Linked DNA regions of Arabidopsis thaliana. The protein of the gene in region 3 interacts with the protein of the main gene of each other region in a biochemical or structural test. Each region holds a gene or a part of one and is shown on either strand. Other genes may lie near its edges.

What was found.
Region 1: the proteins of HB-7 (region 3) and TFIIB form a complex in vitro, tested with the Arabidopsis thaliana proteins (one study listed by BioGRID).
Region 2: the proteins of HB-7 (region 3) and TBP2 form a complex in vitro, tested with the Arabidopsis thaliana proteins (one study listed by BioGRID).

The regions. Positions count from the first base shown.
Region 1 is NC_003071.7:17,354,799-17,365,254, reverse strand, and holds TFIIB (transcription factor IIB), read left to right. Parts: upstream 1-7,632; 5' UTR 7,633-7,854; coding exon 7,855-8,207; intron 8,208-8,603; coding exon 8,604-8,628; intron 8,629-8,736; coding exon 8,737-8,866; intron 8,867-8,959; coding exon 8,960-9,090; intron 9,091-9,226; coding exon 9,227-9,315; intron 9,316-9,397; coding exon 9,398-9,474; intron 9,475-9,566; coding exon 9,567-9,700; 3' UTR 9,701-9,956; downstream 9,957-10,456. Other genes in the region: AT2G41650 (uncharacterized protein), read right to left, coding at 1,036-1,222, 1,304-1,317; AT2G41640 (Glycosyltransferase family 61 protein), read right to left, coding at 2,864-4,077, 4,215-4,292, 4,391-4,601; AT2G41620 (Nucleoporin interacting component (Nup93/Nic96-like) family protein), read left to right, coding at 10,258-10,359, 10,437-10,456.
Region 2 is NC_003070.9:20,722,193-20,733,009, forward strand, and holds TBP2 (TATA binding protein 2), read right to left. Parts: upstream 5,900-10,817; 5' UTR 5,636-5,899; intron 5,295-5,635; 5' UTR 5,292-5,294; coding exon 5,215-5,291; intron 5,120-5,214; coding exon 5,032-5,119; intron 4,921-5,031; coding exon 4,849-4,920; intron 4,763-4,848; coding exon 4,712-4,762; intron 4,587-4,711; coding exon 4,542-4,586; intron 4,398-4,541; coding exon 4,305-4,397; intron 4,214-4,304; coding exon 4,112-4,213; coding exon of another isoform or gene 4,082-4,111; exon of another isoform or gene 4,033-4,081; coding exon 3,958-4,032; 3' UTR 3,952-3,957; exon of another isoform or gene 3,864-3,951; 3' UTR 3,314-3,863; downstream 1-3,313. Other genes in the region: ECT4 (evolutionarily conserved C-terminal region 4), read left to right, coding at 1-100, 202-258; BCDH BETA1 (branched-chain alpha-keto acid decarboxylase E1 beta subunit), read left to right, coding at 1,290-1,441, 1,610-1,721, 1,808-1,843, 1,916-1,975, 2,047-2,104, 2,188-2,375, 2,457-2,525, 2,595-2,681 and 4 more; AT1G55530 (RING/U-box superfamily protein), read right to left, coding at 7,280-8,335; AT1G55535 (uncharacterized protein), read right to left, coding at 9,889-9,930, 10,040-10,063, 10,171-10,266, 10,686-10,817. UniProt on the Arabidopsis thaliana protein: General transcription factor (GTF) that functions at the core of the DNA-binding multiprotein factor TFIID.
Region 3 is NC_003071.7:19,162,237-19,171,953, reverse strand, and holds HB-7 (homeobox 7), read left to right. Parts: upstream 1-4,986; 5' UTR 4,987-5,180; coding exon 5,181-5,540; intron 5,541-5,760; coding exon 5,761-6,177; 3' UTR 6,178-6,680; downstream 6,681-9,717. Other genes in the region: AT2G46670 (CCT motif family protein), read left to right, coding at 6,721-7,173, 7,267-7,365. UniProt on the Arabidopsis thaliana protein: Probable transcription activator that may act as growth regulators in response to water deficit.

The DNA.
Region 1 (10,456 bases), 1.8 Mb from region 3:
AATGATTCAGAGCATCTTCTCTCGAATCTCCTCTTCGTTTCCAGCTGCAAGAACAGGAGCATTTTACATACACAAGCTGAGGCTGTAAAAGGGACAGGACAAGAAGAGAGTGTGCACAGACCAGCAGCATTTTACATACACAAGCTGAGGCTATAAAAGGGACAGGATAAGAAGAGAGTGTGCACAGACCAGCAGCGCTTCAACATCTCGTTGTCTTTGTTCAGAACTGAATATATTCGTAATATATGCAGAGCAAGTCAGGTTTTAGATCTTACACAATAAACAAAAAGCGAGATATCATAATTTGTTATTCTGCACCAAGACAGCTACAACATAGAAAACCAAGTGATATCTCTCAGGATAAAGGATTCAAGTCCTACTGTCGAGTGAGTCCAATACAAGTGATAAGCCAAGAAAACGAGAAAATCAAAATTGATATATGGTTCACACAAGCACTGATTCAACAAAAGAAACTTATTTGCATAGAGGTTCAACAAATGGCAACTGCAACACAGCCCATAGAAAATATTTGAGGTCAAGTACAAAAGTAATCCTAGAGCCAATGGCCTTTGTGTTTGATGCTTAGTCCATTGCAGCTTTTGAATGTTTCACCGAGAAACACATATTGTATCAAAGAATCCAATGCCAAAAACAACCAGTTTTTTAGCATTGTTGTGAAGTCCATTTTATTCATAATTTTGTTCTAACCGGTAGAAAAAATGGTTTTCGCTTGTACGTTGAGTTCCTTATTTTAACTTGGCCAAAATCAAAATTTCTCTATCAGAATAGAAAGCAGAGAGAGATAAGCATCAATAAAAATAGTCAAGGATCAAGCATATATAGATCCAAAGATACAACATAACAACTCCCTGAGTCTCTCAGTACAGGAGCTAAAACATTACGTACTAAATCGATCATTTACTACATATTAAGACTAATTTTCAACGACCCTTAAGACAATAGCTACTAAATCGATTATTAAGACTAAATTTCAACGACCCTTAAGACATTTTAAAAGGGGTAAACAGAGACATATTAGGGCTGCTCCATACGCCTCTCCAGCTCTTCCCTCGCCTTACGAGCCACATTTTTCAGCCGCTTTTCCAGTTCAAGCAGCTCCTCCTTACTCAAGGTTTTAAGATCTGCCTTCAGAGCTTCTAGACTTTCCAGAAACTCCTTCAACCCATTTGGTTTCTTCGATCCTTTTCCAGATGCATTCAAGCTAACATAATAAATACTATGTTAAAAAGAGGTTACAAAAGAAAGCACATCAGAAAATTTCTAGGGTTCAAAAAAGGATTACCTCGCTGCCGCCATCGTCACCTTGTTGGGAACTAGGGTTCTTCACTCTTCTGGTCAATAACGTGTGAGACGAAGAAGCCTATTTCGATATATATATTTGTTTGTTATTGGGCCACTTAGCCTTTCTTATCTTGGGCTATTTATAATAAACACATATGACAACAAAAGTCCAAACTTCTTTTTTTTTTTGTCACTCAAACTGAAATTTGATTGATAAACTTGATGTGGAACCAGGGAATTACACGATGCCTAAACAAGAGAAACAAAGCCGACGAACGAAATTAAAGTTCTCGGAGACAAAGCCGGAGGAAAACGAAGATATCCCCGGAAGCATAGCCCTATGAAAGGGAAACAAAAGAAACTAAAACACAAAGCAGCAAAAATTGGACCCTAAACGTAAGAGAACGAACCCAAATACATAAACAGAGACAACAAGACTAAAAACCAAAGAAAACAATAGCTACAAGCGGCAAATAAGACCTCCTCCTCATAAGCACTTGCGATGAGACTTACTTCGGCTGCCCACGGCCACCCCGAAAAAAAATCTGCCACCTCCTATCATAAAGAGAGCCAATCTCTCGAAACCAGAACCAAGAACTTCATAACCCAGCAAGCCAACCAAACTGGAATAAACTCGAACAAGCCTCCGGGTGCGACGGTGACGACTGAGGCGTCTAAATACATCTAAATAGAAGTCTTCAAAAAGCTATCAAAAAAGATCTGAAGCAGGACAAAGAGAGAAGCCTAGCCTCCGAGAACCTTCATCGTGAGAGAACACCACAAAGGTAGGAGAAAGCTAACAACCACAACAAACTACACTAAGGAGGAGAGACCGACTGCCAACAAAGAAGACTATCACAACAAAAACATAACGAAACCTCTGAAAAGAAATGGGGCAATCCAAATGGGAATTGATGGCTGAAGCAAGGAGACAAGAGACGGAGGGAAAGGCAAGGTTCGGGAAAAGATCAACAGATCTAACCGCTCCTACCGCAACCTCAACGAAACAAAAGTCATCCCTTGAAACAAACCGAAAAATTCCCCAAACGAGGGCCAATAGATCTGCAGAATCAACCAAGCACTTACTCAGATCTATCCAAAACTAACTGAATCAAGGACGAGATCTCTACTACTACAAGACAAAGCATAAACTACAAGGACAAAAAAACCAGTTCCAATGCTACGGAAGCCACCGGCCACTGGTCTCCGACGAAGAAAACGGCAAGAAGCGGCTGAAATTAGGGCGAACAAGAGAAAGGCGATAGTTGATGAGAGAGGAGTGAGCGGCGATGAAGTCCAAACTTCTTTATCAATTACAAAATTTTGATATTCAATAAATATTTTAGTTTATTTATATAGGTCCAATAGGACCACCTACTATTTCTTTTCTTGTGCTTCAAATATTTCCTAAAATATTGAAAACAAATTGATTATTATCTTAACGAATAACGACGATATACTACAAAACTTAATAAAATAAATAACTTACCAAAAAAAACTTAATAAAATAAATAAATTTAATTGTCATTCAAAACTTTACAAAAAAAATATCACACGATTCTTAATCTTCTCTATGTAACAAGTAATCTTCTCTAAATCTCCTTCTAATGGAGAAATCATACGAACGAGTTAACGTTTCTCTGAATCTTCTCAAGTCAAGCTTCACGTTCTGTCCTTGTAGATAGATTTTCTTCGTATATTCCCATCCTTTGTCGTTTAGACTATCCGGATCTCGGATTACAGGGTCATCTTTCCCATATTCTTCATACAAAGAGCTCTCTTTCGGCGCAATCTTGTAACCAACGTACTTCAATCCTAGCTTCTTCGCCGGTTCTCCATAATATGTCTCTGCCGCCCAGTCCGTCCCTAATGGGATGATCTGAATGAAAACGGTTTTCGGTTTCAAGAAAAGGAAATGAGTCATTGCTGCTCCATGTACACCGATCATTACATCGCTCGTGTTCAACGAACGATAAATCTTGGCCATTTCCGTTGTCTTTTGTGGTCTTAGAACCTCCACATTGAACCCTGTTTTCTCTGCTAGCTCCACGAGAAGATTCTCGTTTAATATCGCCCTTGATGACCCGTTTCTTGAAAGAATCACCAGTTTTGGCTTCTTCTTGAAATCGAGTGCGGTCACGTTCGCCTCTGTTTCCTCCTGAGTCAAGCTTTGGATACGATGCGAGTAACCCCTATCCAAAACGTTTCTGAAGTCAACAATGGTTTGATTCCCAATGACCAAAGAAGAATTCACAGTTAACTCGTCGTGAATACGTAATCCAACGGTTGCTTCTTTGAAACAATGTGTTCTCGTATCTCCATTGAAATCAACCAGAGGATAATCCGAGAGCTGCGAAACGACATCTCCATACTTCATCTCCCACCAGTCATGATACTCGACGATCACAAACACAACTTTTTTGTTGTAATGCTGTGAAGTTATAAACAAAGGGATAATCCCGTCGTTAAACTCGTGGTATACGTTACCGGTGTATCCACCAGTGGAGAAGAACACAGCAGGAACATCATGGTACACATCGCATACACGATCTGAAGATTTGTTGGAATCTTTGGTGATGAGGTTGAGTTCTTGAACGGTGTCCATCACACTAGTCTCCCATTTTCTAGTGTAAGGTTTGATCTTTTCCGGTTTTGTGTTGTTATTGGTGGAGGAGGTGAAGAGGAAGATTGAGGAAGAAGCAGAGTTTGTTCGAACATCACCTTTCATTACACAAATATCAGATCTCAAACCGGTTCTGTCACAACAAATGGTTCCTGCGTGCATAAACAAGAATCGATAACCGTAAGTTTTATGCAGATTATACACTAACTCTGTTTCTAATATTAAGATGAAAAGATCAAAACTCTGTTTTCTTCAGGAGTTGGTAAAAAGGTGAAATAAAAAGACTAACCATTGGAGATTTCTGAGCACAGAGGGGTAATAACTGGCTCATAAGAGCTAAGACCTTCGATTTCTCTGCGAAACGAATCTGGAGAAGAGTAAAAAACAGAGAAGATAAGTGATGAATCAAATAGAAATACCAAAAAAGAAGAAGAAGTTAAGATTGTGTGGGAGAAATAGTAGTACCTAGGAGGGAGAGAGTAGAGAAGCCGAAGAGGTAATAAGGAGACAAGACGAAACAGCAAGAGAGGATAGAGAGAAAGAGAAGACAACGAAACTTTTGTTTAGCTCTCTTGGAGTAGCAACAACCACCTCCACCACTTTCCTCTGCTGAAGAAACTCTAAACTTATCTTCTTTTCTTCCATGGTGGATGATTAATCTCTGGTACTGCACCATCTTCTGAAACGTTAAGTTTCGATTTTGATCGATCTTGGTGATTTGGGTGACGTTTGAAGCACAAAACGAAGAGAAAATTCACCGGTAAAGAAAACTACACAAACAGAGAATTACTTTTCTTGAGGACGAAGGAGAGAGAGATAAGATTGGGTGACTCTGAGGATATAAAGAGACTTTTTGATGCATACGCATATATACATACAACTATATGAAACGAGTGAAACGAATGAAAGGGATCAATTTAGATTCCTTTTGTAAAGAAAGTAATGTTTCTATTTTTAATATTTGGGGTTTAGTGGACTTTCCTCTGATATTTCGGTAATAACACGGAAACAACAGAGAGGAGACGGCTGTCAACTTAAGTTGTGTTTGGTCAAAGTCAAAGAATTTGCAAGATTTAGATAGACCACTTAGTTAAATTGTTACCTAAATTTTTCTTTATTTTTAAATGAATTAAATTGTAGAATTTTCTTTGTGATATTACAACAAGTTGGCCTAAATTCAGTTTTTTTTTTTTTTTTTTTCAGTTAAGAAAATCGGTCAGTTTGGTTTTCAGATTTTAAGAGAATCGTTATAGTTCGGTTCAACTTTTAAACCATCTCTGACGACAATACACAGAGAAGAAAAGAAATAGTGGACCATTTATTTTATCGGTTAGAAGTTTAAAAAAAAAACGAGGGTGAACCCAGAAGACGACGTAGCATTATTGTGGGCCTAAAAAACGGCGTGAAGTTCAAAAGAGGTTGATGTATATTCTTTTTGCGGCATGTGCGTGACGCTGAACATCTGCTTTGACAACGGGTTTCGCATAAATATTAGCTATCCTCGACCGTTTTGCTTTACCAAATTCGACGAATTTTATTATTTTATTTTGGTCCATCGAGTTGTATCTTTGACAATTATTAACCTATAAAAATGAAGGAAAACAAAATAATATTTAAAATCCCTTCCAAGTTCCAACGAATTTTAAAAAAACTCTTACGATAAATTATTGTTTGCTCCAATATGTTCTTTATTGCCTGAAAATTTTCGGATAATGAATTTGTTATGTAGCTATATATAGAGAATAATCCAATGTTTAACTCTATTTTGATGGTCGGCTACCGCCTAACATCTTAACCGCGTCCGTGAAATTGACTAAACTTAAAAATTGAATTTAATTGTAACTGATAACAACAACGTATACAAGCAAAGGTGGTAATTTGTTTCATACTTTCATTTTATGGCACTCTTGCAAGAAAAGAAAAGAGATGAAAGTATGAAACGTTTTTTTGGACACCTAGCTATTATCGTTTTTTGGACAAGATAGTTATATCGCGGCAGCACTTGTTTTAAACGATATCCAACGCTATTTTAATCCACACAACACGATCTGCATACCTTTTCAACAACATTTTAAATTATGAGCATGATAGAAATATGTATCATCGAATCTCATTGATCCATTCCAGAAATTGAACGTTGTAAAGTCCAAACTATTGATATTCAGAACTCTTGTACTGTAATAAGTAGCAATACCCTTGTATTACCCAATCATTATTTACCCCCACACAATGCATTACTGTTAAGAAAAGTCCAAATAATTCCTATATTCAAACATATATAGTCTTACACCAGGCTAACCCATCACCTATTCCTTAAACATACAAAGAAATAACTGAATTCCCCCTTGTTAATTTGACTCTCAATTCATATTACAATCTTATATTTAATGTAGTCGTATTGTACTCATCTCCGGTTGTTCGGAGTGAAGACAAACAGTCGTATTACGGTAATCCGATGCAAGCAGGCAAAAATATTTTTGTCCAAACACAGAGAGTACTAACTATCATATTTGTTTTCCTTTACCCAAGAGTAATTAATATCATATTTTGTTATATCAAGAGTAATATCATATTTTCAGATTTACTGCTTGTTTCTAAATTATTTTCTCACATGCTACTCAAAAAAATTGCGAATGGTAGCACGGATTTGCCTCCTTAACGTGGAAGGACACAGTCTATCTCCTTGTCTTAGTGGTCACCTAGTTTGGCATGCCCAAAATGTTTCAAGGTTTTGGTAAATGAAAATCATCATGGAGAGATATAGCTGATACAATGTCAGCAATGTTAATAATCTGCAATGTCATAGTATTAATTTCTTGTATCGGATATCCAAATTGCTTTAATCTGTTTGAAAGTATCTACTCCTTTCACATGGTAAAGATTTACATCTAATAAAAATAAAATCTGTAATATTTAATGTTTAGGTGTAATCAGTAATAACTTTAGACAGAAATATCTTTAATTTCTTTTATAAAGTAATATCTTAAATAAAAAAACTCTCTATTCATAAATATAACTTATCCTGAGTAAGATTTTGTTGCAAAAAAATTGAACTCACATAATATGGATATAAATCCAAAGCATTAATTTTCTTTTATTTTGGTTAAAGTTGTTGATTCAAAGCATTCATATATCATTAAATTATAAAGTTTTTTTTTTTTTTTTTCATCTTTATAAAGTTAAATAATTTCTGTAAATGTTGTGAGACACGTATAAAAAGGGGTGATATATGTCACCTTCAAAGCAAATGACCAGTTTTGTCTCACGTACTAATGTTTAGCTATTTCAGGAATAAAATTACCCAAAAGTTGGTTTCTGTATTTTGATTGTATACTGAACCAAAGTTCAAAAAGGGTCCATTTAGTGACCCAAATGGCGATAACAATAGTACTACAATGGGCTCAATGCCGAGTTTATATCTGTACCTATATCCAAACACTCCTAAAATCTTCCAACTAAATTCCAACACATGCGACCGGTATGACTTCCCTAACAAGTCACTTGTTTCTTTTTCCTCTGTCCTCCTAAAACGGACAAGCAAGCTAATTTAAAATAAAAATAAAAAACAAACGTCAATCGCTGGAGAAAATTAATCCACCGTCCGATTGATTATTAATAGGTCCCACTTAAATAAACGATCTAGATCTTCTCCTCACGATGCACCGCCCTAGAGCTTAATTTTCCCTCATCTCTTTGTCTATAAAACCGGAAACCAAACCTACGGATTCTCTCCTTCTCCACATAAGTTACATCTCTCGTGTTTTGTTTTCTTTGTCTCCGATTTTTTTCGCGACGAAGAAGAAGACGAGAGATAGAGAGAGAAGTAGAGAAATCGAAGGAATCTGTAACCGATTTTAAGATCTCAATTTTTAGGGTTGTTGATTTTTCAATTTCTGGGTTAATTTTTTTTAGGGTTTTCATTTGGAATCATGTCGGATGCGTATTGTACGGATTGTAAAAAGGAGACGGAGTTGGTTGTCGATCACTCAGCCGGAGATACCCTTTGCTCCGAGTGTGGTTTGGTTTTGGAATCTCACTCCATTGATGAGACCTCTGAGTGGCGTACCTTCGCTAATGAATCTTCCAACAGCGATCCCAATCGTGTCGGTGGTCCAACCAACCCGCTTCTCGCTGATAGTGCTTTAACCACTGTTATCGCTAAGCCCAATGGTTCATCTGGTGATTTCTTGTCTTCTTCTCTCGGGAGGTGGCAGAATCGTAACTCCAATTCCGATCGTGGTTTGATTCAAGCTTTTAAAACCATTGCTACCATGTCTGAAAGGTAGTCCCCATTTTGAGATCTCACCTTCTCTGAGATTGGATTGCAACTTTATAAACAATTGAAACGTTTAGATCACACGATCCTTAATCCTATTGGAGATTGATTTTGTATGAACTTGCTTTGATTTATCATCACGCCTCTTGCATACGTTTGTGAAATTACATTGTCAATTAAAGAACAAAAGGAGCTTCCTTTTTAATCTTTCATTGAGAGTTTTCACTTTCCTTGTACTTTATGCGTTTAGCTCGTGATGTGTTAGTCTGTTCCTCAAAGGGATGAAGTTTCTGTTGGTTGTTTAGAGTGTTTGTTTACATTGCCAGATTTATGTTCTGCTGTGTATGTACATTATTATCCTTGTGATAATAGAGAACACTAACTTGTTGATATTTTTTCCAGGTTGGGACTTGTTGCAACTATCAAGGTAAACTTGTTCGTCTCTGCTAACTTAATATGTTTGTGGAATGTATATGTTAGGATGTGCTGTTGGAGCATTTCATTTACAGCTTTGGTGGATTTTCGTGATATGTAGGATCGGGCTAATGAGTTATATAAGAGGCTGGAGGATCAGAAGTCAAGCAGGGGAAGAAATCAGGATGCACTTTATGCAGCCTGTCTGTACATTGCTTGTCGCCAAGAGGACAAGCCACGAACTATTAAGGGTACATTTCAAAGATTTCTCATTTGAGAGAGTCTTGTTACCTCTTGATATAGCTTTGACATAAGTCAATCAAACTCGTGAACCTTGTGAATAGAAATATGCGTTATTGCCAATGGGGCGACAAAGAAGGAAATTGGCCGAGCAAAAGACTACATTGTTAAGACATTGGGACTGGAGCCTGGTCAGTCTGTGGATTTAGGAACTATACACGCTGGTGATTTCATGGTGAGTTTGTCTAAAACTAAAATTGTTGCTGATACCAGAACCTAGCTAGAGTGTGCTAATTATGTTATGAAACAGTTGATTATGCTGGCTGCATTGACTACGTGGTTTCATAACTCTGTATTTGATGAAATTGCAGAGAAGGTTCTGCTCCAACCTTGCAATGTCTAACCATGCGGTGAAAGCTGCTCAGGAAGCTGTGCAAAAATCTGAGGAATTTGATATAAGGTACATTTCAATTATTTCCCTCAGTTCGGGACGGAGATAAACACAGCAGAATCTTAAAGATGTTTATTTTGGGAAATTGCAGGAGGAGTCCTATATCAATAGCAGCAGTAGTCATCTATATCATAACCCAGCTGTCTGATGACAAGAAGACTCTCAAAGGTTCGGTTTTTTCATTCTTTCGGGTCTCATTTATTCTCATTGATTCGTTTTAAACAAAACATAGACTGATTAATATTTGGGGTGGGGTGCAGATATATCGCATGCGACAGGAGTAGCAGAAGGGACAATAAGGAATTCATACAAAGACTTGTATCCACATCTGTCAAAGATAGCACCAAGTTGGTATGCAAAGGAAGAGGATCTGAAAAACCTGTCAAGTCCTTGAAGTCGTTTCTTGATTCTTCTATATGCAATAGAGAACTATCTATATCTATAAATCTATATCGACTGAGGAAGATACAAAGCAATTGTTCTCTCTCTCTAGTAGAGCCTTTTGTTTCTTTTTCAAATCTTTTTTGAAGTCCTTTGCTTAAGATTCTTGTAATGGCGTTAAAAAACTTGAAGAAAGGAATATTATTATTGTTATAGTAAGATGGTAATTTTTTCATAATCTTATTCCCCCATACAATATTCGCAAAGCGGAAAAAAACTTTGTTCATGAAAAGAAAATGAGACAAAAATATGTTTGGATTTACAGAGCATTTTTGATGGCTTTTTAATTTGTCTTCATTGGTTGTCTAATTCTTAAAAATGGGCTAAATACAGTAAATAGCTATTTTTTCTTATCGAATTTAAAGAAATTCTATATATTAACAGAAAAGTATAATTAGTCGTAAAAGGTAATAACATAAAACAAAATAAATCAAAAAGGTTTGAATCCCGACGGAAACCCTCTCTTTGCTGCTTCCCCGACTGCGTAGTAGTAGCTCGAATCCAAAATCAATGGCGAACGACCAAGAGATGAGTGGTTGGACTGATCTTCTCCATTCTTCGTCGAAGCTTCTGGAGCAAGCTGCTCCTTCTTCTCAGTTTCCTCCTCTTCAGGTTCTTCCTCTTTCCGCTGGTTTTGAGGTTCATCGTTTAAGATTAGTTCGATTGATTTTTGTCTGTTTCACTATCAGAGAAATTTAGATCAGTTGGA
Region 2 (10,817 bases), on a different chromosome or scaffold from region 3:
TAACAGCAAGACATGCATTTTGGATGATTTCTCGTTCTACGAGGCTCGACAAAAGACTATTTTGGAGAAGAAAGCTAAGCAGCAACAATCCCAGAAGCAGGCAAGAGAAGAAAACGGTTAATTCCATAGATATAAGCAGATGCATTTACATTTGTCCTCTCTACTCTCTAGTATTGAAATGCACCCATATATCTTTAACAGGTCTGGGAAGGAAAAACCAATGATGAGAAACCAGGAACTGTTGATTCTACCATGTAAAATGCGTATAAAGATCCCTGCATACGGTGGGAAGATGAAGAAGTAGTGAAAGATAAAATCAGGGTTGGGTTTGTTTTCGTTTTAGCTTAGACAGATTTTCATTTTTCTTTGGTTTCTGGTTCGGACATGACTCTGTTGAGTCTTTTCTTAATTTCTTCTAGATTTTGCTTTCAATCTGAAAATTTAGTATCTTCTTTCCTTCTCCATTTCTCCTCTGTTTCCAAGTTTTCAAAACCTAAAAGGCTGATTGGACAAGGATAACACATCCAATTAAAATGTTATGTTTTTGTTAATACTCTATAAACCTTTGTAGTTAGACCATTAATTTTTGTGTGAAACTCGCATAAAATGAGTTAGTTGCAACTTGCAAGAGAAAGATATCGATTCGTGTCGGATCCACAGTGACAGGAGTATCGGAGCTTGAGTCACGGAGCTAGGAGGGTATGGACGGAAACTAGGAAATCGTTGAATCTATATGCATAATTTCTTAAAATATGAACAATGAGTTTATATATGTTAACAACCATATTAATTTATACAGGTTTTACTACATCATTTAAAGTATGAGGGTAAATGAGTATATTTTAGACAATTACAATTTTTGTAAGAATCATCTGCATTTAAATTCATCTGATTTTATTATTATTTTGGATGAGTATGAGTTTGGCAAACCATATGGCTAAAACATCTAGATGATGTCTTTGCATTTCAATATGGATTTCTTTTAGGCTTTAGCCTTTTGGGCCCTAATGTAACACCAAGTCTGCGACACCATCCAAAAAATTACCGCGAAAAAAAAAAAAACTTGCGAGAGAGATATTGATTCGTGTCGGATTTGACGTGGCAGGAGTATCTATCATCTATCTCGTAATTACGTGATTAACTTAGAATCTGTTTCTTTCTTCACCCACCAAAAGTAGCAAACCTTTGCCACCTAAAAATCTTACCAGTTGGGTGAAAGTTGCCAAAATAGAGCTTGCTTTTGTCGCAATCCTATATTTTTCAGATTGATTGTTGGTGGGTTTGTGTAAATGGCGGCTCTTTTAGGCAGATCCTGCCGGAAACTGAGTTTTCCGAGCTTGAGTCACGGAGCTAGGAGGGTATCGACGGAAACTGGAAAACCATTGAATCTATACTCTGCTATTAATCAAGCGCTTCACATCGCTTTGGACACCGATCCTCGGTAAGCTTACACTAGACATTTGATCCTTAGGTTAATAGACATCTAATACATTCTGTGGAGAAAGATAAAAAAAATGTGGGGAATTTAGTTAATTAGTATACACATATAGTTGCTTCAAATATGTATGATGTCGTTTTAGAGTCTGACTTTAAGTTTTTGTTGTGGGAGGTCTTATGTCTTTGGGGAAGACGTTGGCTTTGGTGGAGTCTTTCGCTGTACAACAGGTTTAGCTGAACGATTCGGGAAAAACCGTGTCTTCAATACTCCTCTTTGTGAGCAGGTATCATTCTTTGACCTGCTTCTGTTTTCACTTCTTAAGGTAGTGTTTCTTGATGAGTCATTCATTTAAGTTTTGACTGGATTCAGGGCATTGTTGGATTTGGCATTGGTCTAGCAGCAATGGTGAGTTCTTGTTTGTGTTCATGTTTTGAACTGTACAGTTGTGAGATTCAGTTTGGTGTTCCATTTTGACAGGGTAATCGAGCAATTGTAGAGATTCAGTTTGCAGATTATATATATCCTGCTTTTGATCAGGTAAATGTTCTCTCTTTAAACAAGCATATGCTTTCCGTCGCCATATTTCTGAACGGTTTTGTGATTTATAGATTGTTAATGAAGCTGCAAAGTTCAGATACCGAAGTGGTAACCAATTCAACTGTGGAGGTAAATCTTTCATCATTACGCTTTTTCTTGATTTGTTATTAGTAATCTATTTTACTCATTATGGTTTATATGGATCTTGATAGGACTTACGATAAGAGCACCATATGGAGCAGTTGGTCATGGTGGACATTACCATTCACAATCCCCTGAAGCTTTCTTTTGCCATGTCCCTGGTATTAAGGTTGTTATCCCTCGGAGTCCACGAGAAGCAAAGGGACTGTTGTTGTCATGTATCCGTGATCCAAATCCCGTTGTTTTCTTCGAACCAAAGGTACTTCCATTTCTTTTTTACCAACCAAATCAGCTTCTTAGCACCTCTTCTTAAGTCTTGAAACGTTGATATTTCCTTCAGTGGCTGTATCGTCAAGCAGTAGAAGAAGTCCCTGAGCATGACTATATGATACCTTTATCAGAAGCAGAGGTATCATAAGTTCATTTTTGGCCGTCTATTTTCGGAGACGAGAATCTCACTATTAGGAGTTATGAGCAGGTTATAAGAGAAGGCAATGACATTACACTGGTTGGATGGGGAGCTCAGCTTACCGTTATGGAACAAGCTTGTCTGGACGCGGAAAAGGTTTATAGCTTTATCTTTCAACTCAATGATGAATGGTTCGCAGTAATATTAACTAAGGTCTTGAGTTGATGCAGGAAGGAATATCATGTGAACTGATAGATCTCAAGACACTGCTTCCTTGGGACAAAGAAACCGTTGAGGCTTCAGTTAAAAAGACTGGCAGACTTCTTGTAAGATTTAAGCAATCTTGATTGACAACTTCGGATTTTGATTTGTCTGGTCGATCTTATAGATTGCTTTTGCTTGTGCTTGGGGTTGCAGATAAGCCATGAAGCTCCTGTAACAGGAGGTTTTGGAGCAGAGATCTCTGCAACAATTCTGGAACGTTGCTTTTTGAAGGTTAGTAAAAAGAAAGCTCAAATCATCACCGTTACAAGTGACTACTCTTTATTGGTTCTCCGTTTCTTAACTGTCATTTAAAATGCAGTTAGAAGCTCCAGTAAGCAGAGTTTGTGGTCTGGATACTCCATTTCCTCTTGTGTTTGAACCATTCTACATGCCCACCAAGAACAAGGCAAGTTCCTCTTCTCTTATCATTCCTCTATTCCGACCCAAAACGCAGTTTCTAACATATCATGTGTTCTTGCTTGATGCAGATATTGGATGCAATCAAATCGACTGTGAATTACTAGCCGTACTATCTGTAGTTTACTGTTTACACTAGGACTAATGTAATCGCATGTCTTTGTTATCAATTCGTCTAATGTAACACTACCGATTAACTTTAATGAATTTCAAGATAACGAAAACATGTTATAATAGGACTATCTCACTTAATGTGTACGAAGATTATTATCTACTGAAAGATGAAAGCTTATGATCCAAACATTTGACAAACCAGAGCGGCAAATTGCTTGAAAGAGTATATTAAAGGGCAAACAGACTTGGTGTCTTATTACAGAACAGTTAGCAAAGAACTAAGTAACTCTTTAATGATTGGGTATTGTTCACTGAAACAAACAGAACATGAAACAAGATTACTTGGAAGACATTTTTAGAACAAAAAGAAAAGAGATTTATTGGCATCTCCATTCTCTATTTACAATTTCTGGTTTTGAATCTGAATCATTTCAAGTTCTTGTCCAAGGAATATAACCCCACCAAGCGCCTGCCAACACCCGAGATCTCTAGTTCATGGCAATCCAAACGTGAACATGGTTTTTGCCTTCAATATGGTAGGCTCTGCTTTCGAATCGAAATAGTCATAATCAAACTGTTGATTGATTAAGGGGTATAAAATGTAAATGGAGATAAAGAAAGTTGAACTTACATACTATTATTGCTGGACCTTCCTGAATTCTCTAAGAACTGGGTAGATATTCTCAAATGCGGTATAAGTCTCTTCTCTCATCTGATTCGGGATTTCATAAGATGACAGAAGCATTTTCATGGAAACAATTTTAATCATTTGAGAGAAGTTCAATTATTACCTTGGCTCCAGTTATAACAATCTTTCCTGACACAAAAATAAGCAGTACAATCTTTGGAAGTTTCATCCTATATATCAATCCTGGAAATAGCTCAGGCTCGTACTGGCATCAATGATGAGAGAGGTATGAATCATCAGACCGATTAACACCCATGTTACAAGTATATATGATCACAATGCTTGAGATCACTTACACTTGAGAAAGCACTATGAGAGTATGCAAGACCTTCAAGCCTAATGGGGAATTTGACATCACATGAGCCTACAATGTTCTGTATCTTAAAATCCTGCAAAATGTAATCAGCAATTTTATTACTAGACTTTATACGTAATTTTTCCTTCCGATAAAAATACACACGAATTGTTGATTGAGATAAAAATGAATAACACAGTGTGTGCTGGATCAGGACCAGAGAGAGACATATGAGTACCTTGAACTTTGCAGGAAAGCCAAGCTTTTGAACAATCCGAGCATACTGAACAACAAAAAGGAATTCTTTAATATAACAGAGAACAAATACCTACTAGAGCTGTAACAAGTTTCTAACTACAGTGATGCTAGAAGAAGAACATCAGACAGTATTGAGATGAGCTAGTTTACCTTTCTTGCAGCAAGCTTTGAAAGATGTTCACTTTTAGCTCCGGTACACACCTAATATTGGACAGCATAGATGCCACGTCAAAACAAGGACATGGAAGATTAGGCCATAAGAGAAAAAGTGACAAAGGAAAACATACCATTTTCCCAGAAGCAAAAATTAACGCTGTGGTCTTTGGCTCTCTGATCCTCATGATTACAGCAGCGAAACGCTGGAACATAAAACACAGATTAAAACCAAATCCGAAAATACAAACCAAAGTGGTGGAGACCAAACAAAATGATCGATTACTAAAACACGAATATCACAAAGAAAGCAAAACCTTGGGGTTATATTCAGCATTCCTAGCTTGCAAAGCTATGGCTTTAAGATCAAGCTTGCAGTCTAAGTTCACTGTTGAGACAATATTTCTGAAACAAACCAAAAAAGAAAAAGGTAAGATCTTGTGATTCACAAAAGCACAAACTCAGAATCTTAAAACAGAGACACAAAAGAGAGAACTCACTGAAGAGTAGGAACAATCCCTGAAGGATGTTTAGTAAGGTCAACTGGCTGGCTCCCTTCCGTTCCTTGATCAGCCATTCTCTAACATAAGAATCAACGTAAACACACACACATCAGCTATAAATCTCGTCTTAAATAGGGCAAAACAGAAACTCATGTCGATCCAAACCAACAAGCATCCACGAAACAAAATTGTTTTCAAGCTTTACAATTTCATTGACCAAATCTGGTTATCTAAAAACCAGTTTTGATAATTGAAATCTAGAAACATTGTTTCACAATCAAACAACGAAAAGCTATGAAACACACAACTTCAGAACATGAGATCCAATTCGTAACAAGCAACTACGAAGAAACTCAATTCAGATAAAATCCGTGGAATTGAATCCATTAGGAACAAAGGGTACGAAACAAAATCAGACCTTTCGCTAGTTAGCAATCCGGAATTTCGAAATCTAGGGTTTCGTAAACCCAACAGATTGGAAGAAATTCCCCCGAAAAGGCGAAAGGAAGGTGAATGATTTGAAAAAGGAGAAGGCTTTTTATACAAAGATAAGAAATTTTTAGAGAGGGAAAGAGATTTGTAAATTGGGATTATATATAAAGGAGAGAGTTTTGATTTTCAATATCGCTCTCTGGGTTCTCTCTCTGGGGATGAGATTTGTGATCTGCGCTTTGGATCTGTGGAGCTTAAGGACACGTTATTACCTCTATATACTTTCCTAAACTACCCTTGCCTCTCTTTGTCGGATGAGGGTAATTATGGGAATTCAGCTTATTAGATTTTAATGTTACGGTCTTTACTGGAATTTTAGGGAACCGTCCACTCTTTGTCTGCCACGTGTTCTATTACAGAATGTGTTAGCATACGTTTTTTTGTTGGATCTATATGTAAGACTATAACTCAAGACACGTTCACAAATATGAATCGAGTAGAGACTATGAATCGCCACAACGACGGACTTATTACAAAGCAGTAGATTATCAATTATTGCATGAAGGTGCCAACTAAAACTTGTTAGAGATCATCACTCATCAGTGTCCGGGTCCTTTCTGACGAGTACGTGCCGATTCACTTCGTCTGACACCAGCTTTTAGATTATCAAATTGTTGTGCTCCATTTCCTTCCCCTTAATTTATAATAATAATAAAAAAAGAGATTAAGAACTGAATATGAGTTTTGTTTATGCGTGATTGTATTTGTATGATCAAAGACGGTCACTTACTCGGCAGAGTTCGGCCCATAGTCGTGTTGTACGCGGAGACCAAGAGAATAATCAAAGTGATTAGGGATAAAACCTGACGATTCATTACTTCTTCTTTTGGATTATGACTAATCTGAGAGATAATGTAATAAGTTGATACTACAATACTTATATATATACAAGGAGATTTGGTGAAACGTTAATATATTAGTATATATACTATATCAAAGTTAAGTTCGTTAATGTCAAAAGGTTCGTTAATAGCGCATAAAGTTGGTAACTTTGGTCGCATTTTACACATGTGAACTCTAGCTTTTATAAATTCTAATTAATGTTTACGCGTAAACAAAAGATTACATGGTAATGCAATCATGGATTAACACAAGGAAAAAGCATCACTTCATTAAGTTTAGTAAAAGACATCATATTTTGTTTTGGATGACGACATATTAAACGAGTCGGTCTAAGTAATTAGGCATACAATATTATACAATTCCATTTCATACAACAAAGGTGATGAATGTTAAATTACTTTTTATGTTTAAATTTATAATTTATTACCAACACAATTCGTACTACAGCCACCAATCTTGTTATTTTACCATTAAGGCATTAATTTAACAAACTAAGTTGCAAAAGTGGCTTTGGTTGACAACAAAAAACACACAAGCGACTTACAGAATCCGGCAAAAGATTTGCTCAAAAACAATTAAAAAAACACAAACTGAAAGATATTTGTTTTCCAAAGATGTAGCATTCAACCAAATCTGAGAAACTTATGTACAGACAAAAGATCAGATTTAGGTAGAACCGAGATTTCATGATCACACCAAAAAGCTTATGTTGCTCAGGGAACATGTCTTAACTAGAATCCGTTGGTGCATTGCTATCTTGCGACGAGGAGAACAAGGTGCTAAACGGCCACGGGATCGAGAATCCGCTTCCGTCATTGTTCTCGTTCTCCTCCTCCTCCTCCTCTTCTTCTTCTTCTTCTTCTTCTTGGCGCCGGTTTCCATCGCTGTTCTCAGCTCCATGGCTGGTTGTAGCAGAAGCACTACTGCTTCCATTGTTATCGCTCGTTGTTGTTACTGAATCAGTCTTGGCTTCATCTGCAGGTAACTGATATCTGCAAACCGGGCATGAACTGTGAAGCTCAAGCCATGGTAACAAGCAGTCACTATGAAACTTGTGCGTACAGGGCATCAGCTTTGCCTCAGTTCCAATCTCAAAATCATCTAAACAAACCGAACATTGCAGAGTCTCTTCGATTTTCACAGTAGCCAAAGCCTCGACAGCTTCTTTTTTAGCAGGAGGTGTTCCATATCTGTTGGGATCATTCTCAGCTAGACGTTGAAGCAACATTTCAAATCCAGGACCAATGAAATAGTCACCTAAAGAACCAGCAGGTACAGAATCCATATCAGCAGAGTTTTGAACCGTGATAGTCTGATTGGAGGTATTGATCAAGATCACCCGTCCCGGATTATTACCTCCATTACCAGTACTCTCAGATTCTACAGACAACCCTGCTCGTATCCCCTGAAGCAACTGCAAAACAGCAGCGGAATGTCTTCTCCTTCTCCTGAGAATCTCTTGAAGCTGCCAATCCAAATCATTTTCTCCATCGTCTTCATTGTTCTCGGTCTGTACCTCGTTTTGATTATCTTCAACAGACTCAACACTCTGGTTTCTCCTACGACGCACAGGATCATTCATAAGTTCCATCAAGATAGGCGCCCAAAGAGAGTTGTTTGCTCTAACATCAGCCGGATCAGAAGAATCATGATCGTCGTCATCTTCCATTTCTTCAACAAACCCACTTTGACAAAAGGGACATTTGATCTCAGCTTCCATGACTGGATTCACAGTTTGAGAACACATATGACACCAATACCTCGTTACAACTGCTTCTTCCATGTCCGATTCTTTCTACCTAGAAATAACCACAAAGAATAATTAAAAAAAATAAAATAACACAGAATAAGAACTTGTAGCTAAATGAGTAAATCTCGTTGAAGAGACTAATATACATCTGTCAGCTAATGAAGTTCATCGAACCCCTAAGAGCGAATAAGGAACATCAAAGCGTAGAATAAAACCCAATCATCAAGACACTGAAAAACCCAATAATATCAAAATGTCAATAAAAGAAAATGACTTTATAGAAGAGAAATGAAAAGGGTTTTGAAATCGTCAATCGCAAACCAGAACATTTATCAAAGTAGACGAAATCGTAAAAGTTTACAACAAAGTCATCGATTCAAAGATATGAGCTTTTGTTTGGTCGGATTCAAAATCGAAAGAAGAATCTGCGTTCCATCTTGAAACCCTAACCATAAATCAGCCGTTTTAAAGAAACGATAAAAGTAACAGAAATTAGCAAACCTTTTGAGTCTTGTTGTTCGATAGCAGAAACCGAGAAGCACAGAAAAATGTAGCGACGATGAAGAAGGATTTTGAGTTTTGAAAATTGAAGAAGATGAGAAAAAGAGAGGGTTTCTTTGTTTTATGTACGAAAGGAGGAGAATTGTCGTAAGAAATTAGAAAAGTAGAAGAAGAAAAGAAAAAAAAAAAGATAGGAGAGAGTTTATCCAAGAAAGAAAAAATGAAAAGGATCCTCCTCTTCTTCCAGATCCTTCTGGGTTTCTCATTTCTTTTCTCTCTGTGGGTCTTATTCTTAATTAGCTGCTCCTTTTTTTTAATCAGCTCATTAATTCCAGTAGACTTTTCTACAAACATCAACACGTGTACTTGGATTCTTTTTGTGGGCTTTTAAGTATACTTTTATTAGATGGGCCTTTTTGATGTTAAATTATTGGATAGGAAGTTTCTTATTTATGATTACCACCAAAAAATAACATTGTCCACAAAGGTGCTCTCTCTAGATCATCCAAAATATATGGAGTTTTGTTGAAATTACGGATGAATTCTACTACCGGAATTTCATGAACGGCTCGTGATGTAGTGACGGTATTACTACAATCCCATTTGGTTACATGTCCTGATCGTTTTACTCTATAACAAGGACGACACATATCAACGCCGAAATCTTTTAATTTACTATCTCCACTTGCAAACCAAAAACATAAAAAGAAAGTATCTCCATTCCATTTACACGCAAGAAAAAACTCGGAAAGAATTTTATATGATGGATGATGCATCAAGTAGATTCCGACTCTATTCTAAACCATATATCCCCAAAAATAACATATTTTCAGACAAAACAAATAATGAAATAGCAAAGTAGAAACAGTGCTTACTTGTCCTCAACATATAGAATCTCATGTTTTTGTAGGTGTTATGTAATCTTCTTGCTCTGCTTTGTATGGACACGACGACTCTTCATAATTCTCCCTCGCTTATGGAACACTGATGAATAGCATTTTTATCGGCTTCAAAATCCGATAACTAAACCTCAACAGACAACTCGTTTGCTTAGATGCACAAATGGTCACACTACCCTTCTTGAATCATATTGAAGCCATCCCCGTTTGCTTCAAACACATTTCTTCCTACAAAAGATATTCAAAACAAGATTTATCTTATTATGTGTGAATTAACAGTGATAAAGATATACTGCAAATACGACCAAGAACATATGTGGAATCAATGGAGACTAACCGGTTTCTTCAAACCCTTCTCTTCCTACATAAAAATTGAAACCAGATTTTTCTTATTATTTGTGATAACACAACAGTAACAAGATATAGTGCAATACGACCAAAAACAATGTTCAAGCAATGGAGACTAACATCAATTGAATGCAAGGATCTGAATATGGGAGACTTAATATGAGAGGCCTCTGCAGCAGATGGTGATCCATTGTTCCCAGCTGAATAATGATTTACCTACAAAGGACACAAGGGTGACAAAATTTGCATTGGGTGAGTAACTTCCTCCATGTCGTTAATTACAACATTATGATCACTACGTACTGTCTTATGTACATCCTAAAGTCGTAAAATATCATTGCTAGGGGATCTTGTTCTTTGCATCAACCACGTAAAAATGAAGAGCTGAAAGATAGAGAAGGATCATCACAGTTTCCTTCTAGCTAGTTTATCCTAGACTCAGTATATTGCATTGCATTCACTACAGCTCAAATAGTTTAAAACAAGAATTAACAAACTCTTTCTAAATGGAAGGCTTGGTAGAGTAAACAGGCATGTCGAAATACAGTCTCAGTGATAAAATCACAAAAACCCGAATTAACAAAATATAAACTGCAAATAAGTGGAAAGCAAAGAGAGTAGAAACTAGAAAAAACCTGAGTAGCTTTGGGTGAATTTATATTGGTTTGGCTTTCTTCAAATAGAGAGGTGTAGTAGGCAGGGTCGTAGATAGAACCTCCCAAGATTTCTTCAGCACCTGAACATTGTCTAGCTATAGCAGGAGTTGG
Region 3 (9,717 bases):
TAATCTTTAAAAAAAAGTAAGGGTTTATTTCAAATTTCCAACCCCATAAGTCATTAACTAAGCACTGGACGAACTTTTCTTTGGCATATAGTACTATATGCTGAAGGAGCTACCGTTTCTTATGTATTCAAGGACTAAACATAAACTGTAATTGTTAAAAAAAATACTGAAATAAAGCAATTATAATTCAAGGACTAAACACCAAACTTAATTGTTAAAGAAAAACTGTAATAAAGCAATTAGAATTTCTGAATAATTAAGAACTAGAGGAGGAGCGAGGGTAGCATTGAAATTAGGGAAAAAGAGGGACAAGAGCATTTAATGCCTCTTTGTTCGTATTCTCTCAGCCCATTCAATTTCTCAAATCAGATCCCAAATTTCCACTATCCTACTCCTTCCTCACCTTTTCTATTTCAAAATAAAAATTACTCCACTATTTTCTAACGTATAAGATTTTTTTACAGCCATTCTTTTCTATCTATATATATTAGCTGGTTACGGTGAAAAGACTACAAAAGAGGGAATTCAATATAAATATGAATGGTATCCTTATGAAAATGTAATTCACAACGAAAAAAAACAAAATTTCAAAGAAAATATATATATATATATATGTGAAAAGTGCGGATCTCAATGTAATGAACATAAAGACCCTTTCTCGAATGTCTATTGATGAGACCTTTACTTGTCAAAAACTTTTATTCACTGTATTTTTAACCATTTCTTCGATATATCCCCATCACTCTTTTTTTTACCCCTCTCAATCTATCCACACTACACTTACATAAATCATATATGCGTGTAAGTATACGTTTGTTCTTACCTATATGCATGCATACAATATCAACAAGTTATAGGAATTTGTCTACTCGATTAGTGGTGTTATCCAATACGCATAATACAAAAAATAAATATATGATGTCATGAGTTTACAAACTCATAGGTATCAAAAAGTAAAAGGAAAACTAATTAGCAAAAAAAAAAAAAAAAAAAGCGATGTAAGTTCAATGATCACATCGTATTAGACTATTAATACTGGTCCAAATCATGTATTGGTTCGCACTAAACCTATTTTTCAATCAGAACACATTTATATTGGTTTTATTACAAAATGTTATGATTATGCCAAAGGTGGCTCACTACATATTATCAATCCCTCAGCTAGCGTGGGCTAGACAGTCCAATGGGCATTTTCTTTAATTTTGTTAACCTGATAAGGGATAATGGGCTTTAAAACATCTAGTATGGGCCTTTTAAATAAGAAAAATTCAATGCTTTGTTTTTTTTCCTCCCTTACTTTTGTTTTGTGAGTCAAATTTATAAGAGACAAAAGGTATATGAAATATAACACAAAACATGTCAAAAAATTAAATAAATAAATTCAAGGTAAGAGATAAAGATTTTCGGGGATCGAAGTAAACACTGAGAGTTTTATATGGTTAAATAAAATGAGAGAAATATTATTATTTGAAAATTGAAACTGGTTTCGGTAGTGGAAATAGATCGAAACCTAAAGCAAGAGAACAGAGTAACATGACTAAGGTCTTTGGTCCGACAAGGTCAGCAATGAGAACCGTCTCACGCCTAATCTTTGGTTTCCCCTTGACTTGGTATTATCAGATTCCGTGACTAATACAATTAAGTAATTAACAATATCTATAGCTTAATATACAATAATTTAGATAATTATGACAACATAAGCAATTGAATATATCTTTCATGTACAATGAACGTACTTGTACTTCAACATACTGTAGACATTTTGACACGTAGAAAGGGAAACGAAAGAAAGTATAACAAAATTCTAATACGGATAAAGTTCAGGTCCAATCACTCATTATCTTTATCAGTTTTCGCCTCTTTCGTTTTTTTTTTTTTTGTGTGTAAAATTTCGTTTTGTTTTCTTCCTAATTTTGTTTTGTCCTTTTCACATTTTCAAATTTCCTGTAAACTCTGTTTCAATAGTTGATCTTTCAAATAAACTGGAAAATAAAATAAAATATTGTCCATGTCCAAATTGAACATGCTTATTTTTTAAAAAAAAAATGAAACGTGAAAGTCGGAGATTCGGTGTATTAAGTAAAATATCTAGTCCTAAAGATGGGTTTGTTTGTTTTAATTACTCGGTAAGAAAAGTCGAGCCGCTTTATTTTCAACATCGCTTTAACGAGGAGTAGTAGTTAAAGAAGTAGGGTAAGATTGTTGGCCACTTGTGACAATGAATTTACGATTATTATAACCTTTTTGATAGTAACATTATAAATAAAACCAATGATGATTTTGACCAAAAGTAATTAGATATTTCATCTATTAATTCTATAAAGTTATTATCACGAAAAGATAAGCTTTTTTTAAGACGGTGCTAAATGTCTCTTCCCCATTGGCACCTCCTTGGCATCATATTTCCACAGTTCCACACCATCAGATATTCAGATTACACATTAATTTGATCTAGTTGTTTCTCAAAATAAAACAAAAAAATTTCGAATGTGGTTTAGAATATTTATTGTCCATTCGGAAAATATGGAATAATAGAGTTCTATAATTCTATCAACAATTCCAAAATTGGTGGAAAAAAGTCTTCTTGTCTGATAAAGTCACTACTATAAATTACTTTTTCTATCGTTAAAAACCAAATTACTGTGTTTGATTCTCATGTATCATAAATTGATTAGAGATGCAGTAACGGTAATAATCTAAAAAGCAGGACAAAACTTAATTCATTCGTTAAAGAAAATAAAATAAAAATAATAAATTCATTCGTTAATAAAATAGATCTTCGTTTGAATATTACGATGGTATGAAAACAAAGAAAAACTTTGTGAACGTGACACCATACTGATAATCTAACATAAAAAGTCCTAATTAATTGTAAATATATCAAAAAATTAATGTCACACGCGGCAAGTCGAGGAGCTTGCAAATACAAACAAGCCAAGCCATCGTTTATTTAGTAATAAATTAAAATTATACTTTTTAAAAAAAGAAATGAAGAATTTGTCTTCTCCTACGGCTCTTCTCAGAAATTGCGATATACTAGTTAACCACGACACGTGTGTACTTTGCTGGGCCAAAATATTCAGGCACCACCACAGATCAACTGCCATGTCATCTCTTCTATCAACTTTGATGTCCCAAAGCATTGAACTCTCATCTCTGATTATAACACTTGGCTAGTTTTCGATGGCTGATTTTGATACTTTTTGATTGCCACTTTCTGATAAGTTCAATAAGACTTTAGAAATTGATCTCTTACGTTAAATTTTAGTTGGTACTTCTTTTTGGTTTAATTTTAGTTGATACTTGATAGATATAATTTCGAATTATGTTTTTTTTTACAAATATCAGATTTAATTATTAAAAAAAGAATATTAGGGTTTGAAAATATCTTATCTAGATGGCCCAATTTAATATTTTTGCTTGTATTAATTAGTCAAAAGAAATTTCCGACAAGCAAGGTGAACGTAAACCTTAAACTAATCAGGAAAGCAAGAATTAAAGTTGCTTTTCACATTAATACTAATATTGTTAAATTGTTATCGCTATCGTGAAGAAAATAAAGTCTAGGGAATCTGCCTCAAATATGGTTTCCCTGTTGGCAAAAATTTAACTTGCTTCCATTCAAATGATGAAATGTTACGAAAAATTAGCCTTTTGTCTTTGGAGTAATGTTTGTTAAATAATCACGAGGCATTCATTCTTAAAATACCATAACATTTATAGAGGTTTGAAGTACCATAATTTGTAAAACTAAACTAGAGAAATTTTGCGAAATCAGTTGTATGAAGACTTTCTTAAAAATAACGTTATATAGACTCTAGAAAAAAACTATTATATGCCATTTCTATTTAGTTTTTTTTTCTAAAAATATATATAAATATGGTGTTGTTAACATAAAAACAGAAAAAAAGAAAAATTTAGAAAATTTTCTCAAGAATCATTATATCTGTGATTTATCATATAAGTTCAAATATGATATTAGAAACAAATAGTTTACGAGTATAATAGTATTGTCAATTTTTCAATCTGAAGTAAATATCTTTTTGTAAGGAAGGGGTCAACAAATGATCACAACAGAGTTGGCAAAAAGTTATCAAATCGCATGCACGGAAGTTTTACGTGTGGTGAAGGTAAACTTGTATTACACTTATCTATAAAAATTAGTTTAGGCTTTGATTCTAAATCAAATCTCCGATTAGAAAAAATTGCGTAAGCAAATAGCTGGAAAAAATTGTATCCCATCATACTTAAGTCACAATGTTTTGTTTTTGAGATTTGTGATGTAATCAATATATGTTTTACAATGCAAGTATAATAATATTAAAGTCACATTCTAAGAAAATTATGATTTGTGTCATACGTATACAAAAACACCCGTCACACATCCTGACTTCTGAACGTTAAATCTGTCGCACACAATCATAAAAATTTAAAAATTCACCAGAGATGTACTGAAAAGAATATAATTAATCACATGATGATATATGCATAGGAGATGAGGATTATTCATTTTCTGAAATTCCCTATATGAACCATTATAATTGTTTAGTAATCAGTTCAGAAATGCTAATCATTATATGAACCATTATAATTCCCTTCATTTTTATTTAAGATCCACTTAACAGGATTTGTTAATATGCACCCACATCACTAAATACATTGGTACGCAACCGTTGTTCCATTTCCATTTTCACATCGACCAGAATGTTTACTATGCGGTAAATTGTGTAGTATGCAGATTTTTTTGTATCATTTAATTTTCTAACACTTGTTAAGTCGAAACTAATTTTGTCACAAGTAAAAGAAATAAAAAAGGTGGAAATTATTAATCAGTAGTTAGATGATTAGTTTCGAGTTGAAATGAAACTCGACTTAACAAGTGATAGCGACGACTCTAGAAACAGCCAAAATCCGCCCTATTGCTACCTGTCGACCCACAAATCGTTTACTCAAAAATGAATAAAAAATTTACGATAAAGCAAACCCAAAGTTATATCTTATTATATGCTAAGGAGCCCTCCCAAAAAAGAACAACAAATCACATTTTTATATAACTGTTAACATAATAATCTCAGCCTCATCAACACACATATATAGATAGCCAACATCACACAAACATAGAGATTCCAAAAAATAAAAATAAAGAAAACATAAATCCTCTGAGGAAAAATTCCGATGAGATGACAGAAGGTGGAGAATATTCTCCGGCGATGATGTCAGCAGAGCCATTCTTGACCATGAAGAAGATGAAGAAGAGCAACCACAACAAGAACAATCAGAGAAGGTTTAGCGACGAGCAGATCAAGTCACTGGAGATGATGTTTGAGTCTGAGACAAGGCTTGAGCCAAGGAAGAAGGTTCAATTAGCTAGAGAGCTAGGGTTGCAGCCGAGGCAAGTGGCTATATGGTTTCAGAACAAGAGGGCTCGTTGGAAATCCAAGCAGCTCGAGACTGAGTACAACATTCTCAGACAAAACTACGACAACTTGGCTTCTCAGTTCGAGTCCTTAAAGAAAGAAAAACAAGCTTTAGTCTCTGAGGTATGTTCTAAACTCTGTTTATTCTTACATGGTTAGTTAAAATCTGTGTATTTTGTGGTTGTATACTGAAAAACTGTGGTTTTAAATATGTGATAAAATATGTGCTTTAGTGGTTATATTGCAATTAAGGACTGATTAGGTGATCAAGAAAAACTCTGTTTTGATGGTTTATTGAAGGAGAGAATAGATTGTTGATGAGTTGTTTTATACCTTTATGTAGTTGCAGAGGCTAAAAGAGGCGACGCAAAAGAAGACACAGGAGGAGGAAAGGCAGTGTAGTGGAGATCAAGCGGTGGTTGCTCTAAGCAGCACACATCATGAATCAGAAAACGAAGAGAACCGGAGGCGTAAACCGGAAGAGGTTAGACCGGAGATGGAGATGAAAGATGATAAGGGTCATCATGGGGTTATGTGTGATCATCATGATTATGAAGATGATGATAATGGTTATAGTAACAACATCAAGAGAGAGTATTTTGGTGGGTTTGAGGAAGAACCAGATCACTTAATGAACATTGTTGAACCAGCTGATAGTTGTTTGACATCATCTGATGATTGGAGAGGTTTCAAATCAGATACTACTACTCTCTTGGACCAATCCAGCAACAATTACCCTTGGCGGGATTTTTGGTCATGAAAACAATAAACTCTAAACAAGAAGATGAAACAGATTGAGACTAAAGATTGGATATATACATATTCAAATCGAAATTTACCGGTCTACATCGCATGAACCGAGCCACGGATATAGAGATATTCGGTCCAGCAAATGACTCGTTTCTCAGCGAGAATTTTGCAGGATTTTGAGCTGAAATTGTATGGTTTTGTCTGTATAAATGATGTGTTTAGAAAGACGTATATTCTCAGTTCGTGTTTGTAATTCTGTTTTTAAGTAGTAAGTACTCGTCATGCTTTGTAGCTAAGTAGTAAGTTTAAGACTAAATTTGGATGAATAAAAATCAAAAGCAGGAGAAATCATATATATAAAGTGTTATGCATTAATATGTAAAAGATCAAGAAGAGAACTAAGTTGGTGAGAAGAAACTGATATTAGGAACACGAAAAGAACCATGAAACCCAAGTTAACATCTTCTTGACTCGGAAGATTTAAGGAGAAACTTTGTTTTTTTCTCAACAAAAGCAGAGTATCAAAACAGAGTCAGTCAATTCGCAAATTCTTATGTATTTAACTTGCAGATTTGAGGAAAGCAAGTCAGCAGAAAAAGCCGTCGTTGCTTTAGAGGAGAGTACTTCAGGTGAGCCAAAGACACCAACCGAATCACATGAAAAGTTGAGAAAAGTAAGATCTGATCAAGGAAGCTCCACAACGAGCAGCAACCAGGAGAATATCGGATCATCAAGCGTAAGCTTCCGTAACCAAGTTCTTCAGTCCACAGTAACGAATCAGAAGCAAGATTCACCCATACCGGTAGAATCAAATCGCGAGAAAGCAGCTAGCAAGGAAGTAGAAGCTGGTTCTCAAAGCACCAATGAGGGGATTGCTGGACAAAGCAGTAGCACAGAGAAACCAAAGGAAGAAGAAAGTGCGAAACAACGTTGGAGTAGAAGCCAGAGAGAAGCTGCATTGATGAAGTTCCGGTTGAAGAGGAAAGATCGATGCTTTGACAAAAAGGTAAGAGACACACAAGCTTCATCATAAAAACAGCATCTGAAACAAATACAAGATCAAACTGATTCAATGGAGATGTATAAAAATGGATTACAGGTTCGGTACCAGAGCAGGAAGAAGCTAGCAGAACAACGTCCTCGAGTGAAAGGCCAGTTCGTGCGAACCGTGAATTCAGACGCGTCTACAAAATCATGAAGAGCTCTTTCAGTTTTTCCTCTGATTTCTTTTGTTGATTTTATAACAGAAACTTATTTAGCTTTTGCAATCTTTAGTGTGCTTTTTTTTTTTATGTATTTGATTGGCTTCTTCTTCTCAGCTAATATGAGATACTGGGGCAACTTTTGTATATATGTCTGCAAATGATCAGGCTAAGCTAAAACAGTAATTCCAATTTCGTTAAGTTGAGAAATATTTCTTGTTGTGATCATATCCAGGCCGCTTCTCTCTCGATACATACCAACAAGAAACAGATTCTATAAAACTTGATTTATATACCATTGCTATAGTCTATGTATTAAAACTCATCACATTAATTCTCTCACAGTCAGAGAAACAAAAAAAAGGAAACAGAAGCTATCAAAAGAAATCTTTTTTGTGACCGTTAAAAGAAGATTTTGTGACCGTTAATTGTGATTATCAGTTTCCTTTTCTTCGCTTATAAATAAATAATTACTCTCTCACTGAGAGTCTCAACGCTTCTTCTAAAGAATTCGACAAATCAAAACTCTCTATTTCTCGCTTCTTCTTATTCTAAAACCCTAATTCTCTTCTCAAGACAATTTTGTCTTTATCTCTCTGTGAATTCCGATGATGATCCAAGTAGAGATATTCAAGTAAAAGCCGATGGTGATGATCTCTGAAACGTCCGTAATTGATCGGAGCGATATCATATCATCATCGTTTCGTGATTGAACCATCAAATCTATGTCATCAAGATCGATGTCGCCAGATAATGATCTGACCAACGAGAGACGCTTTCACCGGAGACTACAAAGAGGAGGATATAGCCAAGAGAGCGGAGAGCTTTATGGTGGTGGATGATGTCACGAGAGGGCTCCCAAAGACCGACGGGCTCAAATCTGACTTTGGAATGGGCTTTGCTCTATGGGCCCTTTTTGCTACTAAATCCAACAAGGTATTACTTTTTTCATTCTTTTTTTTTTTGTTTTATTTTCCTTCAAAATTATTTTTAAGTAAAACTAAAACTAATTAGTTTCACCATAACATTTATATAACTAAAATGTTTATATATTTTCATTAGTTTAAGTGTAAAATGTTTTTACACCTATATTTTATTATAACTTTAGATTTTTTTTATATAGATAAGTGTTAAATTTTTAAATTTTGTGTAAACTAATTGGATACATCATCCAATCCCCTAAGAGTTGTTCTAGGTTCAATATGGTTTACATTTTATTTAACTTTTTAACACTTGTTTTTCTTATATTTAGCATTTATTATTATTATTATTTTGAAAAGATTTTCAACTCTTTTTTTTAAGGTTTTATAAATACTAAATTAATATGACGTTGTGAAATCTAACCGGATTTTGGGTCCCGCCATTTAATCGTGCTTATTAGCGATTCCATAAATCCAACATGTTTTTCACTTTTTCATGTATATTTAGCATTTCTTTTTTCTTAAAAGGTTTTCAACTCTTTTTTTTTTTTTTTTAAATTTTATAAATACTAAATTAATATGACGTTGTGAAATCTAACCGGATTTTGGATCCCGCCATTTAACCGTGGTCATTAGCGATTCCACAAATCCAACATGTTTTTCACTTCTTCATGTATATTTAGCATTTATTTTTTATTTTATTTTCTTAATAGGTTTTCAACTCTTTCTTTTTTTTTTTTTTTTTTTTTTATAAATACTAAATTAATATGAAATTGTGAAATCCAACCGGATTTTGGATCCCGCCATTTAATTGTGGTCATTAGCGATTTCACAAATTCATATGTATTTCACATTTTCATGTATATTTAACATTTATTTTTTATAATGAAAGAAATCGTTATTAAATTTTTTATTAAATTAAGAAAATCTCTCTATTGATAAATTAATATTATTTTAAATTAATAATATTAGAATTTTAGGAATTTCACTATAAAATTTTATTAATTTATAAAAGTTTTACTGTAGTTTTAAAAATTTAGTATGTTTAGGAATTTTTCTTCTTAGACAATTCAATAAACCCTCAAAAGTCAAAACGAAAACCCAATCATTTTGCTAAACCGCTTCTGCGAACCAATATATGGAACCGATAAGAAAAGCCACTAGATTGATTAGTTTGAATTCAAAATTTCACCGGTCAGACAAGATACCCAATCATTGTGTTTACCGTTGCTATAATGAAAAAGTGACAAAGGTCGATGCAGTCAAAGTTTTATTTGATACCTATTCAAACTCTAGTTGATTAGCAAGTATTCAAAGTGTATGTGTAATATACATTGGACAGGGAGATGAGAGATTCAATTCAATGCAAGTTGTGTCTATGTGACTCCATCAATACACTTGACTAATCAGAATCAATGCTCCATCTAG